Sus scrofa: one gene and its partners. The protein of the gene in region 1 interacts with the protein of each later gene in a biochemical or structural test. Links are inferred from orthologs where the notes say so. Each region holds a gene or a part of one and is shown in the gene's direction. Other genes may lie near its edges.

Region 1 (5,596 bases):
TCCTAAAAAGGATAAAAGGCAAAAAAAAAACCAAAAAACCCCAGATGATTCCCTCCTGATCTTGGAGTCTCTTCTAGCCCTGCCTCTGCATGATGTGTGTGGCCACAAAAGCCTTTCCTTTTGCATGTGTTAGCTTTATAAAATTCTTGTGAATTTTTAAATGTTTAATCTAACACTGTCACTATAGCAGCTTAGGTAACTGCTATGGCACGTGTTTGACCGCTGGCCTGGGAACTTTCATAAGCTGTGGGCATAGCCAAATAATAATAATAATAGTAATAGTACCTTTAGCATAAACAAGACCTGTATTTCCATAGAAAATGGGTTAGACTTTCCATCAAATCTTTTAATGACAAAAGATGTCCATTTTCTTTAAGGAAGAGTTGAGTGAACTGAATCTTACCAGATAGCCTCTATTTTACCCAGTGAGATGCTCTGAGTTCCCTATTGATTTTGAAAGGAATATGATAGGGTTATAATTATCTGTGTTTGCTCCAGCATTATCCTTCCTCAAGGAAGCAAGGATGGAAAGAGTAACTGTTGCCATATACAGAGCTCTTCATGTCAGACCCCAGCCAGGCACTTCCACACCTGCCTCAGTTAATACTCACAACAGCCCTCACAGGGAGGCCTGTCATCCTCCCTCGACTGCCAAGGAAACCGATGCCACATGGAGTGAAGTAGCTTCTCAAGGCCACACAAAGAAGCAGCAGCAAGGCCAGCATCCCAAACCTTTACCTTTAATCACTGCACTAATACTTGGTTGTATAGTGACTGACAGGTTCAGAATAGAAAAATAATTTAAAATACTAAAAAAAGGAGTTCCTGTCGTGGCGCAGCGGAAACGAATCTGACTAGGAACCATGAGGTTGCGGGTTCCATCCCTGGCCTCCCTACATGGGTTAAGGATCTGGCATTGCCGTGAGCGCAGACGCGGCTCGGATCTGGCATTGCTGTGGCTGTGGTATAGGCCGGCAGCTACAGCTCTGATTAGACCCCTAGCCAGGGAACCTCCATATGCCACAGGTTGGGCCCTAAAAAATCAAAGAGACAAACAACAACAACAAAAACAAAACTTAAAAAAAAAAAAAAAACTTACTGAAGAGAAGCTCTAGTTTGTATCTAGTTTAGTTATCACTAGTTACAGGCCATGCTTGATTCAAAGCTTCACTGGCTGTAGCTCAGATCAAAGACTGGTGTCTCTCTGCTCCCGGAGACCGAAGGTATGTATCAACCCATTCAGGATGATGAGAGCGAGATTTCTGAAGAGTCAGCAGGTGAGTTTTACAAAGCAGCTGGATCAACACAGAAAGAGGCGCAGAAAGAGGCAGCAGTTGGGATGGGAGCGAGCTGGGGTTCAGGAGCTGGGAGGCAGCTTGGACAACAGGAGGAGGCCTCTCTGGAAATGTGACAGAGGAGATTCAAGCAGGGGTCAGAGGGAGGTAGTGAGTGGCTTCCTTTTGAGATGTGGCAAACCCCTGCTAGTTCCTGAAAGAGGGATTAGACCTGGATCACAATAGGACACTAGGCCCCTTCTAGAAGGCCAGCGCCCTGGGCAGGGCAATGGTCAGGACTGAGGACAGAGAGCTGACACAGAGAGCTGGTTCTCCTGGTTTTGGATCTGGTGTTCCATGGGTGCTCACGGCTGGCTGAAGGAGTCCAGGTCCCAGAGTGGTGTGTCTCAAGGTGGAGGACCCTCAGTGGGAGCTGTCACAGAGGAGCCCGTCTGCTTTTTTGTCTGGTTCAGGAATTGAATTTCACTACTATACGACAGAACGGAGCCTGCTTCCCATACCTCGCCCCTCCCCTGAGGTTGGCCCAGGCACCCACGGGGATGTGTCTGCAGGTGGTTGGCAGGTGGGCAGGGCAGCCATCAGGCTGGAGCAGGCCAAGGCAGGCACTGCCAGTTAAACAAGCTGGCTTTGGATCTCTGCAACAATCCAGAAAGTGCTCTGGTCCTATTTTCATAAAACTTGGCTAGGAAACACCAAATGAACATGTATTATCCTAAGCCTGAATTTGTCAAATAGCTAATTTCGAGTTTCATAACTCGGAGTGTTCTTTAGAAACCCACATTTGGGTAGTGAAAATTGTACTTTCTGGGCTAGACTCCCTGTGTAACTAGAAATGACAGTGCATGGAAAGATGACTCTATTATTTTTTATCAGTAGACAAACTTCCCTTAAAACTTTACATTCTCATATCTGTAGATAAACCCACATCATAAAAGGAATAATATGACGCTGTTCTGAATCATGTAGTCTTTGCAAATTATGAGCAGGCTGAAAAATGTCTAAATATAATTTTAATTTTTGAACTGTTTTAAAAATTTGACAATCTATGCTTTGTGGTGAAAATAAGTTGGATAACTGTGCAAGTGACTAATCATACTTTCTCACGGTGTTTCTAGTAACACGATCTGTTTTCATGGCTCTTTTTGAAGAATATTATCCTAGGTGAACGTGTATTTTATACACAGGTTCTGTTGTTTGTTTTTTTCTCATGCAGTAGTTGGAGGAACAAACGCCTCTAATGTGAGCTTTTGCTTGTGGCCATTCCACGTGGGCAGGTTTTCAGAGCAAGCGAGAGACTTACAGAATAGTAAGGTATTTGTACCACGACATTGTCCCAGCTCAGGAAGGAACGTTGGGCTCCTCGAGCTCGTCATGGCTTAGAGGGGCCTTGGAGAGTCTAGGACAACCTCAAGAGCCAGAACAGGAAGGAGGCCCAGAAGCAGAAGCGGCAGGGCACTCAGAACCACTTGTCAGATCTGCCTTGGGGGGAACATCCCGAAGTCTTGATATGAAGGGTGTGAAGTGACTGCCTTGGTCAGTATCAGGCACGGACCTGTATTAGAGCTTTCTCAAGTAGTTTTCTTTCGATCCCAAATTTTGCTAATATGGTAAAATTTTTTAAGAGGGAAAAAGGGCCAATGAAGCTTTTCGATTGCCTCCCAGTTCAGCTAGAGGGCAGCTTCCCAGGCTCCCAGGAGCTCTGCTCCAGGTTGCTGTGAGGGACAGTGGACATGTGTCTAAAAGCCCAGGACCCTGAGCACTGCTGCTCAGAGAAGCTGGAAGTCGAGTGAAAGACAGACAGCATTCATGCAGCCAATGTGTAGTGAGATACAGGAGAGGACGGTACCCAGGCAACCCGGCAGTGATTAAGTTGCAGCTCCAGCTTTCTGAGGAGCTGGCAATGAACAGTTAAATAATAAATACCAAAAAAAATCAGGTAAAACAGTGAATTTCCCAATGAATGGCATAAACAAATACATACTCAGAAAACGAAGGATTCGCTAGGGACTGGAATGGCTTTAAGGAGGTGATGCGCTGAAGCAAAAACTCTGAATCTTGGCTGTTTCTCACATTCATGGAATCTGCTGGGATCTAGGATAAAGCCTGAACCAAAGTTTCAGTGAAGTGTTAATTTCCAAAATTTTAGGGACTCTCATGCTTCTGGTCAGTCTGTGCTAAATGCTGTCTCCTTGGTGGGTCTCTGTGGCTTCTGCCTCACGTGGCCTTTCTCTCACCCTGTCCCATTGCGCTATTCTGCCACCTTCCAACCCTACGTGTGTGGTTCTCTCTAGCCGTCAGCAAGCTTGTTAGTAGAGCAATACCACTGGATGGGCTTCTTCCTTATTTTTAAAAAATACATTTCACTTTTTGAATGGTTGAAAAACTGAGAACTATAACAAATTATTTTTTAAAAATCCCCCCCTTTCCCTGTCCCTGTCCAGTTATCCTGACTCCTCTCTGCCCAACCACTATTACTCATTCCTTATGTATCATTCCAGACTTTATGTCGTACAAGAAAACATGAATATAGACAATTTTTTCATCCATTTTTACCCAAAGATAGCATGTTATATGCAATTTGATATCTTGCTTTTCTTCACCTAACAGTACATCTGAGTGTTCTTCTGAATAGTACATAGAGCACATTTTCATTCTTTTTTCATGGTTGCATAGTAGTCCAGTGTATGGATGTACCGTGGTTTATTTGCTTAATTCCCTATTGATGATCTGGGTTGTTTCAATCTTTACAAATAAAGTTACAATGATTTATGTAATGAATTATTGCAATTAATTTATTTTAAAGTTGTAATGAATAACCATACACATGGGTAAATATTAGATACAATGAAATATAGTTGTAGAGATTTTTTGGCCCTGAAAGGGGAAAGAGCAATATGAGTTCTAAGGATTCTCTTCAGTGATAATGTCATTACTTTCTGAATTTGGATGTTCTGTAGGTCTCATCATAACCTAGATACCTGGAGATAACCTGATACATGTGCTTAATAATAGTATTTATCTCTACTTAACTCTAGAAAACCCTGGGTTTTGCTTTTGATTTTTATCAGAATTGTCTAATTTCAAAAGATGCTCATTTGGCCAGAGGTCACTGGTGGCATTTGCATCACTGGGCCCAGGCCGCTTCATACTCTCTAGAGCTTGTTCTCCTGGGTACTTCTGGCCAGCTGTGAAAGTCTCAGATCCTACTGTGATCTTGTTTTTGTAGACGGGCCCACCTTCGCTTGTGCCTGGAAAAATTGAAGGGGCTGGTGCCACTTGGTCCAGAATCAAATCGACACACCACGTTGAGTTTATTAACAAAAGCCAAATTGCACATAAAGGTAAGAGCATCCTGGGATGGTGTCCTTCTGTCTTTACCTACCTGGTGAGGGCTTGTTTGTTGTTATGAGGGACGGATATGATTCGCCAGGACAGTTCTCTCCTCTCAATTCCTCCAGCCTGCCTCTTGGATGAACACAGACTCAACACGTCCAGAACCCAACTGAGTAGTTCTCACCCGGTGTGTGTTTCAGAAATGAAACTGTCCCTCCATCTGATGCATGAGCCAGAAATGCAGGGTCATCCTCGATCTTGATGATCATTGTGCTCCTTAGCCACGTGTGTCCACAACTCACCCATGTCACAGCTGCTCTATTTCCACAAACCCCGTCAGCTACTGCAGTAAACTCCTCAGAGGCCTCCTCCAAGCTAATCTCCATACTTCCCAAGAACAGTCTTGCCAGAGCTAAAATCTACATGTCACCGTGTTTTAAAATTCTTCCACAGCTCAGGACACATTGTATCACCAGGCCTGCCCGACCCAGCCTCCTTTGCCCTTGGGGCAGCAGCTTGTGCCAGACACTCCCCAGCCCTTCTTTCCACCCGTTGCCAGGCTCTCCCACCACAGGGCGTTTGTACATGCTGTGCCCTCTGCTTAGTATGCTCTCCCCTCCCTTCTTCACCTAGTGAGCTTCTTGTCATCCTTCAGACCTCGGCACGGGTATCCCCAGTGCAGGGAAACCTTCCCTGACTCAGTCACCTCCTTCCCGAGACAGATGGTCCTTATTATTGGATCTCTCTCTTAGCACATGTCACAAGTGACATCTGACCATGGTTTATGTGACTGTAGTTGTTTCCATCTGCTCTGTTAGAATATAGACCCCACAAGGAAGGAGACCAGATCTTTGTGTTCCCGTTGTGTCTCCACACCTCCCAGACGGTCTGAGACAGAGTCAGCACTCAGTATGTGGCTTAAACAGCAAATGGCAACTCCTGAGAGCCACAGCCAGCATCACTGTTGA
Region 2 (6,155 bases), on another chromosome or scaffold:
TAACATTCACTCTAGTAAAGTGTACGATTCATGGAGGACTATCATGTTTATCTTGGCATCCTTGGTAGCGGTGGTCCTCCCTCTTGGTTGCACATTGGAATCACCTGCGTAGCTTTAAAAAAAAATACAGCTACCTGGTTTTCCCCCCAGACGTTCTGATTTAATTGGTTTGGGGTGTGGTCTGAGCATCAGAATTTGTAAAACAGGAGTTCCTGTTGTGGCTCAGCGGATTAAGAAGCTAGCATAATGTCCCTGAGGATTCGGCTTCTATCCCTGGCCTCCCTCAGTGGGTTAAGGATCTGGTGTTGCCACAAGCTGCAGTGTAGGTTCTCAAATGCAGCTTGGACCCTGCCTTGCAGTGGCTGTGGCTTAAGGCCTCAGCTGTACCTCTGATTCGACCCCCAGCCTGGGAACTCCCAAATGCCACAGGTGCAGCCATAAAAAGAAGATGAAAATTTTTTAAAGGATTTGTAATGCCTCAGAGTGATTTTAACTTGTAGCCTGTGTTGCCTTATAGTGCCTTGCACATAACCGCCAATCAATAATTGTTGTAATCATGAATTAGCCCTAACTTCCAGCAGATTAGCTCATCCGAGAACTACCTTCTCTGTCTCCCTTATATATCCCAGCGGCTCTTACAATGGTCTGCTTATGTCTGTCTCCTCCACTTAGAGTGAAAGGAAGACTGAAACAAAAGCATTTAGAAAAGATAAGTTTACTTGCAAAGATGTGCAGACTTCAGTAGGACTGGATTACTGAATAAGGAACACAACAGATGTTAAAGGAAAAATGTAAAGATTACCATGTTTACATTTGCCTCTTCAGCTGGGGTAGTGTGCGCACATGGGGAGATATGTCACAAATGACATATTCCCAAATTTCTGTAATCAAAAGTCAGGGATAAAATGGTTTGCATTAGGGAATCAGTAACTGATGGAAAAGCTCAAGATATCATTCATTTTCGAAACCAGGTGTAAAGTGTGGTTCAGTTACTTTTTCTTAGTAGTAGTATTTTTCTTCCGGTGGTACTTGATGAACATACTCTTAAATTGGCAGCAGGGCAGTCTCGTTTTTGTTTCCACAACTGTGGGCTTCATGAAGATGGGTAACGTTCAGGTCTTATACATTATGGCATTCTTGTGCTGGCATATGTTAGGTGTTCAATAAATATTGGGGAAATAGCTATGATCATACCGCATGCAGCAGTTTTTGTTTTTTTGTTGTTGCTGGTTTTTTTTTTTTTTTTTTTTTGGTCTTTTTGCTATTTCTTGGGCCGCTCCCGCGGCATATGGAGGTTCCCAGGCTAGGGGTCGAATCAGAGCTGTAGCTGCCAGCCTAGCCAGAGCCACAGCAACGCGGGATCCGAGCCGCGTCTGCAACCTACACCACAGCCCACAGCAACGCCGGATCGTTAACCCACTGAGCAAGGCCAGGTATCGAACCTGCAACCTCATGGTTCCTAGTCGGATTCGTTAACCACTGCGCCACGACTAAAACTCCCGCATACAGCAGTTTTTAAGTGGGATTTTAAGTGGATAGAGAGCTGTTTCTCATTTGATATACTGATTATGCTACTCTGAACTGGGGCACTTCTTAAACTGCTTAGACTACAACCAATTCAGAAGGCGTTTTTATTTCCACGTAAGCAGTTGTTGAGGGTCAGGATCTGGGAATGTACAAGCCTCACTTGAGTAGCAAAATGGTCACTCCAGGGTGAATGAATACAAGAGTCTCGTGGGAATGGTCCCTCAGCTAGGCCGGTCATCCTGCCTGTCCAGTAACACTAACACCTGCCATTGACACCTCTTCGCTACCAGATCCCCAGGGTCCACGTGAGCATCCGCAGCCGCGCCCCCTAGTCCCCCGCAGCAGGATCCCACAGCAGACGGGTTACGCCCCAGAGCACAACACAGAGCGACTCAGAGGTCTAGAAAACAAAGTAAAACCAGTCGCATCAAGGAGAGACAGCGTTATTTCGGCAACCGGCTACTCGTCCACAGCCTCCACCCTGTCCCCTGGGCCAGGCGCCCAGACAGTGCCCGGCTCCAGGAGTCCCAGCTCCCTCCACGTGTCCTGTCTTCCCAGCAGCCACCTCTGCTGCCTCTGTAGGAAAATCTCCTGACAACTCGCGGTCTGCGGACTACGACTCCCGGCAGGCATCGCGCCGCTCCTCTCTCCACTCCCCCCTGCTCCACCGGACACGCAGGCGCTCTGGGCTCCGTCAACAAGTCGGGCTGGGAATGACTGGATGCAGTTCTTTATGGGATTTGTAGTTTCTCTGGAGCTAGCCGGGCCATCATTCAAAGGGATATGAACTACAAGTCTCGGCGGCCCCAGCGTGACGAGCTTGGTCACGTGGCAGGGGGCCGACCGGGCGTGCGTGCCGCCGTTGATCCGGTGCTGCAGTGAGGAGGTGGTTCTCGCCCGTGTTGTGTGTGTGTGTGTGTGTGTGTGAGTGTGTGTGTGAGTGAGAGAGCGAGTGAGTGAGTGTGTGTGTGTGTGTGGAGATTCGGCTTGTTGTTGTCGGTGACTTCCCCCTCCCCTCCACCCCTCCCCCTTCCCTGCCGCCGCTGCAGTGGCCGCTCCCTGGGCCGTAGGAAATGAGCGATAACGATGACATCGAGGTGGAGAGCGACGTGAGTCCTGGGGCTTCTTCCTTCCCTTGCGAGTTGTCAGGCGGGGACAGCGGCCGGGATTTTCAGCAGGGCGACTGCGGCAGGGGGCCGGGCAGCTGCCGCCTCTCCCCTTCCCCCACCCCCACCCCCCGGGCTGGGACCGCCTCCGTCGCGCTCCCCGCTCGCTCCCCTCCGGGCTCCTGGCCGGAGCGGCCTTCTGGGTCTGGAGGTGGGGAGGAGACACGCGGCCTCTGGGACCCCCACCTCCCCCCGTGGGGGAAGGTGCTGCCGTCTCCTACTCTCTCTCTGGCTGGCTCAGGATCCGGGACATAGGGACAGGGTGCGCTCGGGATCCCATTGTCCGGATTCTGGGGAAGGGGACGGCGTTCGGGACCTGCCCCTTAGGCCCACGGCCCCCTCCTCCCTTGACTGGCGGATCCTGGGGGGTGAGGGAGGGCAGAGAGGGTTTGGGAGTGCCCAGAAGTCCTGAGCTGGGTGCAAGGGGAGGAGACAGTGCTGTGGACCCCCTCTCGCCCGGTTCGGATCCCGGAAGGAGGGGTGGCGCTCGGACCCCCCCCCGCCCCCCTACCGGATCCAGCTGGGGAGGAGGGATGGGGGCGTGGGGTGGGAAGGGAGGGAGGGGGAGGTAAGGCTTACTCCCCACCCGCCGCTTCCTCTGCCGCCGGCATTTTCTTTCTTATTATTGAATGTGAAGTGTAAAAATAACTTCTATATTTTCTATTTTTTTTTTCTCTCTTATTCCAGGAAGAGCAACCGAGGTTTCAATCTGCGGTACGTCTCCTACTCTCCATTTCATTTTCATTTCCGTTCAGTTCTAGTCCTTTTTGGGGTTAGAGAGAAAAAGAGTTCTGTTGCTTTTAATATTGTAGTAAACTCTCCTGTTAACCGCTAAGGTGAGGTGGGGCCTTGTCCTGGGGTTGTAGGTGGTGGTGGGGGGCGGGTTTGTAAATCTCATAATTCTAGATTCTCAGGTGATAAGTTCCAGTGGCTGTAGGTGAGTGAGAGAAGCTGTATGCAGGGAAATGAATCTTTCTGTAGTGTTTAGATGAGAGTTCTAGCTGTCACTATTTAAATGGGGAATGAGAAATGCACCATGTTGAAGTAAATTGTACTCTTTCAGGAAGAAGTGGTCAGATTTATTTAAGAACAGTAGGTTCTAAACTATCTGAATAGTTGTGTGAAGTTGAAGCCACATGGAGAAATCACCTTTAACCAAAAGTCATGTGACTTCTGTAAACCTATGGAATCTAGCACAATTTGGTATTACTTTAATGCAGAAATTGGAACTGTAGAGGAGCCAAAGGTTGAATGTGACCGTGTCATATTCAGCAGCTTATTACGGTCTGACTGTATTTGAGTCGAAGGAGCAGTATAAAGAAGGTAGAATTGTTGAAGAAAAGTGGCATTGCAGAGTGAAGTTTGCTAGGAAGTGGTGGTTGAGACTGTAAAGTGTTATCAATGATTTCTCAGAGTTTTGATATTAATGTTTTCCATAAGTGGTTCTATGGATTAGGATAGACATAATCTCATGTCTTTGGAGTATGGGATAGTACTGTGGGTGTTCCATGAATAGATCAGAGGAGGAAAAAAATCAAAGGGGAAGAGAAATGAGTATATCATAGTGTCTAATATTTGACAGATGGGAACAGTAGGAAGTGTATAGAATGGGGGTCAAAAGTTTAGATGTCTCTAGGGAGCCCTGGCAGTGAGATAGTCAGGAATTGAGGGCACAGGTGAGGACTGGGGTACTAGAGAGCCCATGCCTCTCCTAAAAAGGTGGCCAGTCCAGTGGGATTGAGGACTCAGTATTGCCTTATCTTTCTATTTTAAAAGAAATTTTAGAAATCTGGATTATAATGTTCTTCTGATTTTCAAAATAACGTTTGGGACAACCAAGTTGTTCAGGAGCTTGTTAGAATTGCCACATTCTGCTTGGAGACCTCTGATCTAAGAATTTAATTCTCACAGAATAAAAGCAAGCCCTCTAACTTATACCTGCTATTCTTTAGAGCAGAGATTCTGAGGTTGTCTAAGCAGTTATCCATTTAGAAAAAATTATCGAGAGCCGTTATTTTCATAAAATCAAAGAATGCAGTTGTCCCAGGGGTCTTAAAATTATCCCTGGTAATAGTCACTAAAAAAGAATTTGTTTTATTTTTTCCTTGAAGGATTTGAAGGTAATATTTTGAATGTATGAAGTATTGTCAAATACTTCATATTTATACATATTTTGGAAAATTAAGGTCTTTTTCAGTTATTGCCTTCCTTATTAATGTGACTATGGAATTTCATGTTTGGAACCCAGTCTATTTGAAACATTTTTTTTTCCCTGAAAGTCTCCAGTTATAAAATCTGCCCTAGGGCTGGATGAGGATTGGAGGATAGGAATTATTTAGGCTTCCTTTGCAGAATCATTATTTAAATTGGAATTATATTAGCTTTCCAGTGAGACAAAAATTTTCTTTATGAAATTTTGGCTTACAGTTCTCAAGAGCTTTCTGCTTTTCAGAATATCCATCCATGTGGCTAATGATATAAATTGTTTTAGTAAATTATTAAAATGTTTCCACTTTCCTAGAACACTAATCTCATTGTTTTGTCTAGATATTTTCAGTTTTGATATTAAGGTACCTAGGATTTTTCCTTTTGATTTTGGAGGGTGGGCAAAGGGAGTGGGTTTTACCCTTTGTTTTTAATTTGACACATCTTGCTAAGACGTTTTAAATATCTGTTAAGATGATCACAACGACATGGAGAGAAGAAGCAGTAGACAGATTTTATAGCATATCAAGCAATTATGAACACGTAGGATAAAAAGGAGTTCTTTTTTTTTCTGTGTGAATATATGTTTATTTCCTGACATTTAGTATAAATAAATATATTCTTTAAAATTTGGGTGGCGGGGAGCTATTCTTAAGCATTGTGTTAGTTCGGAAAAGGATGAGGACTGTGAACAACCAAATATTCAGGACTACAGAAGAACTTTTTTAAAAGTTATTTGGCAAAGGTCCTTTGAGTCCTAATATAGAAGGAGACGCTCATTCATGTTTTGTAATATTACTACAACAGCTCCGGCCTTACTATATAAGACATGTAGGATACTCAGCAAGAAGAGAGTTAGGAAGCGAGGCTAACTGTAACAGAAAGTGAAACTGATTTGACGAGTATTTTTTCTTTTGCCTCAGTGCAAACAGAAAACAGCTTCTCTAGTGCCCAATAAGCTTCGTTAAAGGAAGTAACCCCAGACGATAATTTTTATTATTAAACTCAATACATCTCAGAGTCCCACTGATGTTATATTATTTTTGTTATTTTTTGGAGGAGGAAGATTGCATTTCAAAGACAATTTTCTGGTGCAGGGATATTTATGCAAAGTGATCTTTGTTTTATTTCTGGGTTTTTTTGGGTTTTGTTGTCATTTGGGGTTTTTTTTTTTTTTTTTTTTTGGAAAGAATGAAAGTATACAAGAAATGTAGGGTTAGTGTGGTAGTTGGAAACCCACGACCTTTTTCAGCTTCT
Region 3 (6,122 bases), on another chromosome or scaffold:
CTGATAAAGAAAAACTTGGTCTTTGGAGTTTCTGCTGTGGCACAACAGGATTGACGGCACCTCTGCAGCGCCAGGATGCAGATTCGCCCTCCAGCCTGGCACAGTGGGTTAAAGAATCTGGCCTTGCCACAGCTGCAGTGTAGGTCATAACTGAGGCTTCGATCTGATTTCTGGCCCAGGAATTCCATATGCCGCAGGCGGCCAGAAAAAAAGCACCCCCCCTCCCCCAAACAAACAAAAGACTTGGCCTCTACTCTACAGAGCCCCAATCTGATAATGAACCTCAACCTCCATGGCCCTGCCAGGTGTTGGGCCTTCCACTGAATAATTTTCGCCTCCTGGACTTTCTCCCTCTACACTCTCCCTTAGTGATTCCATCAACCAAGCTACCACCCAAATTCTAGTCCTCTGAGATGACTCACTTCCCTCCCCAAATCAGTATTTCTACCCACCTGCCCTTTCTCCTTAGTGGCAAGCCTCCCTCCCCATTAGACCCCCATCCTATGGACTCTGAGTGAAGTAAGTGTCCTTAGAGCCTGTCTTTCTACAGGCACCTGAGGCTCTATTTCACAGGGAGGAAGGGACTTGTCTAAAGGTATTCTACCAAGTCATTAGTGGTGATCAATCTAGAACCCAGATTACTGAACCATTAGCCTCAAGGTCTTCTACCTTTTCACGCACCAGGTCACTGCCACTGACTCTTCCTTTCCCTCCATTACCCACACTGAATCGGTCACCCAGTAGTCTTCAGTCTTTCTCAACCACATCTCTCTGGTTTTATTTTTACTAAAAAAATTTCTTTTCGGCTACAGCCATGCATGTGGAAGTTCCTGGGCCAGGGACTGACTCCTATACTGCGGCCGCAGCAATGCTGGATCCTTTAACCCACTGTACTTACAGGGGATTGAACCAGTGTCTCCACAGCACCCAAGCCACTGCAGTTCTCCATTTGTATTCTTGCTTACCCATAGCCACAGCCCTGGTCAAGTCCTCGTTACATCTCACCTGAATTGTTGGGATAGCCTAACTGGCAGCAGACTCCCATTCTGCTCACAGGACTTTAAGGCCCTTCACTTTCTGCACATTCTACATCATTCACATGAATTACCTGGATCCATCAATCAATAAGTCTTTCTTCCTCACCCACTGTGTACCCTGGCCCCAGGCTTGGTGATATGTGGGGTAGCCTCTGTCCCTGCTACCCCTGCCAAAACTCTTTTGGTGTAAAGTTATGACAAAAACACTACAAATGATTCACAGAGGCATGTGAGGCAGAGTTTTGATGTGAGGACTGCTGATAGGGAAGGGTTTCTGGATTGGGGGCTTGGAGAGAGATGAAACCTCTTGGCTCTCTCCACCCACCCCTCCCACCAGAATATGTAACTCTGTAATCTCCAAACCCATTATTACAACAGCCTTTCTGCTTCACTTTCCTGCCTGCAGGCACGCTTCATTCAACCTACCCTCAGAATCCATCCAGCTGCTGGGATGTTGAGCATCTTAAACCATAGTTTTGGGCCCGTGATTTTGTGACCAGTCATGTTGCTTGCACATTCTGCTGTGCAAGCCTGAGAATTTTAACAAGGTAGTATAGTGTTCTGTTCTCTGACTCCATCTTTCCAAACCTGATTTTCATGACTACAGCCACACTTTTAGTGTTTCTTAATATTTTGCATTCACCTCTATGTGTCCTTTGCTGAAAATGACTTGCCCCTCCACTTCCGCCTGATGAAATCTTTAAGACCCAACTTGCGTGCCACCTCCTCCAGGAAGACTTTACCACTTTTCCTCAGAAAGAAGCTCCTTGCTCCGAGATTCTGTGGATGTCTATTTATATATACATTTCTGCATTGCCTTAGTTCTTTCTGTAGCATCTCCTCAGGTAGATAGATCTGGAGTCCTTGGATAGTGCAGAGTGAGCATCTCATTCAGTCTCTGTAATCGCACCCAAGCAGCAGGTGCGGTATGACTCTGTCTGCCTCACCCCAGAAAGTGCTCAGGCAAGTGCCTGTTGCCCGGAACATACGACTTTCCAATTACACCGTTCATTTTTAGGCAGTCGCCTAACAGAAAATGGGCCGTCCACGGTTAGGTTACACAGCCAGGGGAGTCGGGACATTGCAGCCAGTCGCTAGGGTATCCCTACCCGCCTCCCTCTGCTCAGTTCCAAATGGGGTGTGTGTGTGAAGGAAGTAGGGGCTGGGTAGCCCGGCTAGCTCCTCCTCCGTGTCCACCCAGAGGATCTCCGAGTCACAGTAGGTCTCCTTCCAGTCCAAAGGCCTCAAGAAATTCGAAGCGGCGGTACCTTCGATATAGGGTCCTCTGTCACAGATGCGGCTCACACTCACGGATACTTTAATCTATTTATTTGGATTTTTTTTTGGAGGGAGGGGGCGTTCAATGAAGGGGAAGAGGTGGAGCAAGGCGGGGAGGCGGGCCCAGGATGACTGACGAGAGCAGCGGGGAGCCAATGGCCCGTGGGGGGCGTTCCCCCCCATTCAGGACTCCTCGCCTGGCTCGGAAGGTATGTTAAACAGCTGCTTTTAATTTGGTCTCCCCAATCTTGGGCGTTTTGGGGGGCTAGTTCACCAGCCGGTCGCTTCGGCCAGTGCGCCCTGGTACCGGCGCAACGGGTCCTGGGACGGAGCTAGGGGAGCTTGGAGTCCGGCGGCCGAGGGAGGCGAGGGGCAGGCCAGGAAGGAGAGCTCTTGGCGCCGCCCGCTCGCCAGTGTGTTTCCAAGCCCGGCCGGATCCGTGGGGAGGGGGTCGGCCCGGCCTGGGGTCGCCAGTGTGCCGGCCGTGCTGCCTAGTTTATTTCACCGAGCGGCCGGTTTCGGTAGGTTTCGGCGGCGAACTGGGTAAGGTGCCAGCAGGAGGAGATCCTCCTCGCTCCTGGAATGCCTTAAAAAATTATTGTAAAGAAGAAAAAAGGGGAGATTCCGTACACCGACTGGAACCAGGCCTGGGCTGCGGCGCGCGGGCTCGGCAGGGGGCGGCGGCCTGAGCCCGGCTGGCCGGGCCCACTGAGTCCGCGGCGCCCGGAGTTGGTCGAGAGCTGGAGTTAGCAAGGGAGCCGGGGCCCGTGGCTTTCCCCGCTAACGACGCTGGGCGAAGGCGGCAGCCGCCCGAGGGTTTTGTTTCTGTCTGCAAACTTGTCCGAGGGGGCGGTGGGCGCGCTCAGGAGAGGCGCGGGTGCCTAGGGCCCGCGGTTGTTATGGACTCTGGGGGCGGGGGCAACGCCGGACTTGCGGGAGGGGCAGCCGGGGGAAGCCACCGGAAAGAGCCCCCGCACCTCGGCACTAGCCCCATGCGCCGGTCTGGGTTCTCCGAACTCCCGGGCCGTGGCAGTAGAGCCAGCATTCGGCGCCGGAACACGGCCCGGGGGTGTGGAAAACCTCCAGGAACTCGGCGGCTTCGACTCACGGCCCCAGCTGATCCCCTTGCAAACATGGAGCTGCCTCCTTCCCCGCCCACCCCAAGGCGGCGGCAGCTCCCTTCCCATCCCCCGGTCGTGCTCCTCGCTTGCGGATGGGGTGGAGGCGGGGACGCAGGCGTGTGAGCGCGCCCACGAGGGGGTGGCCTGAAAGGGGCAGTGAAGGTCGGAAACTGGGAAAACAGTCTCCACGCTCAGAATCGGGAAAAGGAAATGCATCAGCGTGCGGGGAGGGGCGCGGGGGGCGCGCCTGTCAGCCGGGATGGCGGCCGCGGGTTGGGAGGCGGGGCGCCGGCGCGAAACGCCGAAGTCGGGCGGGGCGACGCCGCGAGAGGGGGCGCAGGGGCCCGGGCCCACGGAACGCTAGGCTGCCCCTGCCTCCACTCCTTGGCCTACCCTGTTTACTATCTACTCCCGCGACGGCTTGTGCAACCGGCTGGGAGCGGAGCTGAGGGGCGGGGCCTTTCTCTCTCTCTCTTCCACCCATCTCGGGCTCCTCAAGAGGGCCCGCCTTCTCTTGTCTTCCACTGGCTGGGAGAGACTCCCTTTTTTCCTTCTCGGTTGTTGATTGGATGACATTCTCCCGAGCTCCGCCTATCGGAGGCCGGGCTGGAGTTTAAGTTGCTAGGATTTTTTTCCATGAAGGGCGGAGGGAGGATTCCTGCGGCTTACGTGAGGCGCAAGGTCCCGCCCCTACTCCTGATTGGTGGCATATATAGCCCCTCCTCCTCCGGCGGATCGAGCTAGGAGGGGGAAGTCCACCCTGTTCCCCGCCCCCTCCCTAGCGTGTGTGCGCGCTCAGCACATGTGTGAGGCCCGCCTTGCTCCTTCGAACTGTCCTCCCGCCCGGAAGTCCCGGGCTTGAAGCCCTAGGCAAGGGGGGCGGGGAGAGCCAAGAAGGCACACAATGATTCCTCCAAGCCTCGAGATCTGGTAGACTTTACGATGAAGTTAGTGTTTTACGGCGTAGAGTGAATTTGGGGGGCTTAGCTTCCGGGATTGTGCAGGATTTGGGAGGAGGGAGGGGGTCTGCCCTTCTCGGCCAAGTATTAAATTTCTGACACTGTGGCCTGGTTATTCCCGCGACTCTCGACTTCTAGGAGATCGTCCTAAGCTTAAGCTTCAGAATGCTGCGGACGCTGGCAGTGTTTTCTTCTCAGCGCAAAGCAGCTGCTGACCTTATTTGGCTTTATTAAAACTCTGAGCAACCTAGGATTGGCCTGGACACCTTAGGCAAGACCCCGCGCAGCTCACCCCCTCTTGACAGAGGAGTCGAGGGCGGCCCGATTCGGCTTGGGTTCCAAGTGGTTTTTGATGTCCATGTGGGAGCACCGTGTGCCACCCAGTCTAGGGAGCAGGGGACGGCGCAGAGTTAAATTAGCCCACGGCCAGTTCTGCATAAATGCTGCTTTCTCGTAATCTCTAGAGGTTTGGCATGGGGGTCTCCTCTGTTTCGTCGGTGTGACTTATTTTTTGAGTTCCTTCCTGGAGCAAGGCTTGGCTCTCGGCGAGACTGCCCCCAACTGTCGGCTATTCATGGAGTTCACAGTTCGCTGCTTGTCCTTGCGGCTTGGAGTCAGGCCCACCTGTTGCCCGCACTCATTTCTTGACGTCTCCGCTTGATTGCCGAGGGAAGACAAGCTAGGACTTAGGAGTGAATTACCTGGGGCCTGGCCCTTGCTTACCCACTGGGCTCTCTAGGGGGAGTAGCCCTTTTGCGGAAGAGAGCGGGAAAACTAGTCCCGCCCCCTCCTCTCCTAGCGCTCCAAGAGCGCCCTCCAAGCAAGGCCAGTGTCAGTTCGTCCTATTTACTGAATAAATAAAAGCAACCGAGATATCTCAGGCACTTTGTCTCTCTGTGTCAAGGCTGTATTACCTACACAGAGAGGGACTAGGGACTGTCATTAACACTCGCTCGCCAAGGAGGAGGAAATATAGCTGTTATTACTTTTGTCCCCAACTTTGGAATTTTTTATTTTTTCTCTGAAGTGTGGAGCGAAGTTTCATTTATGCCATGGTCTGTTTAGTCTCCTTTCTCAGTTCCTCCAGTTAGAGGATGCCTCCAGATCTGCTTTGGAGATCGCGAGTGTCTTACACTTCAAGCTCCGCCTTCCGGAGGCTTGCCAGGGCGTTGGTTCTTAGGGCCCTGCCCTTATTTTGGTTATCTCCGCCCTTTTAGGACTGCATATTCAGGTTTAGGGAGTGTCGGCTTTAGAACTATGCAGTCACCCCTAGCTGCGGGCTGAGCAACCCCTGGGGCTATTCCTTGGCATTGGTGTCTAACCTATAATTTTGTATTTTACTTACTGGAAGTAGCTGTCGGCTGCTTGGGATATTTGTGTTTGCAAGGAGGCAGCGTGCGGAAATGTAAACTGTAATGAGAAAGCTGGATAGGAAATATGAGGTTCTCTCTTTTTTTTCTTTTTTTGTAAGCGGGTCCTCCACGGTGGCGATGCTGCCGTCCCTCCCTTTCAAGTCCCAGGGCATCGGATTCCCGCTGCTGAGCTCCGCACCACCTCCTGTTTCGGGCCCTGGAACTCTCTGCTCTTCAGTCTCTAGTGTAAACATTCCACAAAAGGACTGCTAAGGTTCAGCCTCCTCGCGCAGGGCGGAGTCAGCTTCTTCCTAGACGGGCATCCTGGCCAATAAAGGATCCTACCGGCGCCAAGCTACCCAATCCGATGATTGG

The links.
Region 2: the proteins of MXD1 (region 1) and MAX form a complex in vitro, tested with the Homo sapiens proteins (4 studies listed by BioGRID, with this or other methods). The link is inferred for Sus scrofa from reciprocal best matches to the Homo sapiens genes MXD1 and MAX.
Region 3: the proteins of MXD1 (region 1) and SIN3A form a complex in vitro, tested with the Homo sapiens proteins (4 studies listed by BioGRID, with this or other methods). The link is inferred for Sus scrofa from reciprocal best matches to the Homo sapiens genes MXD1 and SIN3A.

Annotation. Positions count from the first base shown.
Region 1 is NC_010445.4:72,524,201-72,529,796, reverse strand, and holds part of MXD1 (max dimerization protein 1), read left to right. Parts: intron 1-4,521; coding exon 4,522-4,636; exon of another isoform or gene 4,637-5,596. UniProt on the Homo sapiens protein: Component of a transcriptional repressor complex together with MAX. In complex with MAX binds to the core DNA sequence 5'-CAC[GA]TG-3'. Antagonizes MYC transcriptional activity by competing with MYC for MAX binding.
Region 2 is NC_010449.5:89,164,399-89,170,553, reverse strand, and holds the start of MAX (protein max), read left to right. Parts: upstream 1-2,288; 5' UTR 2,289-2,600; coding exon 2,601-2,636; intron 2,637-2,806; exon of another isoform or gene 2,807-2,955; intron 2,956-3,380; coding exon 3,381-3,407; intron 3,408-6,155. UniProt on the Homo sapiens protein: Transcription regulator. Forms a sequence-specific DNA-binding protein complex with MYC or MAD which recognizes the core sequence 5'-CAC[GA]TG-3'. The MYC:MAX complex is a transcriptional activator, whereas the MAD:MAX complex is a repressor.
Region 3 is NC_010449.5:58,169,566-58,175,687, forward strand, and holds the start of SIN3A (paired amphipathic helix protein Sin3a), read left to right. Parts: upstream 1-2,255; 5' UTR 2,256-2,524; intron 2,525-2,812; exon of another isoform or gene 2,813-2,836; intron 2,837-6,122. UniProt on the Homo sapiens protein: Acts as a transcriptional repressor. Corepressor for REST. Interacts with MXI1 to repress MYC responsive genes and antagonize MYC oncogenic activities. Also interacts with MXD1-MAX heterodimers to repress transcription by tethering SIN3A to DNA.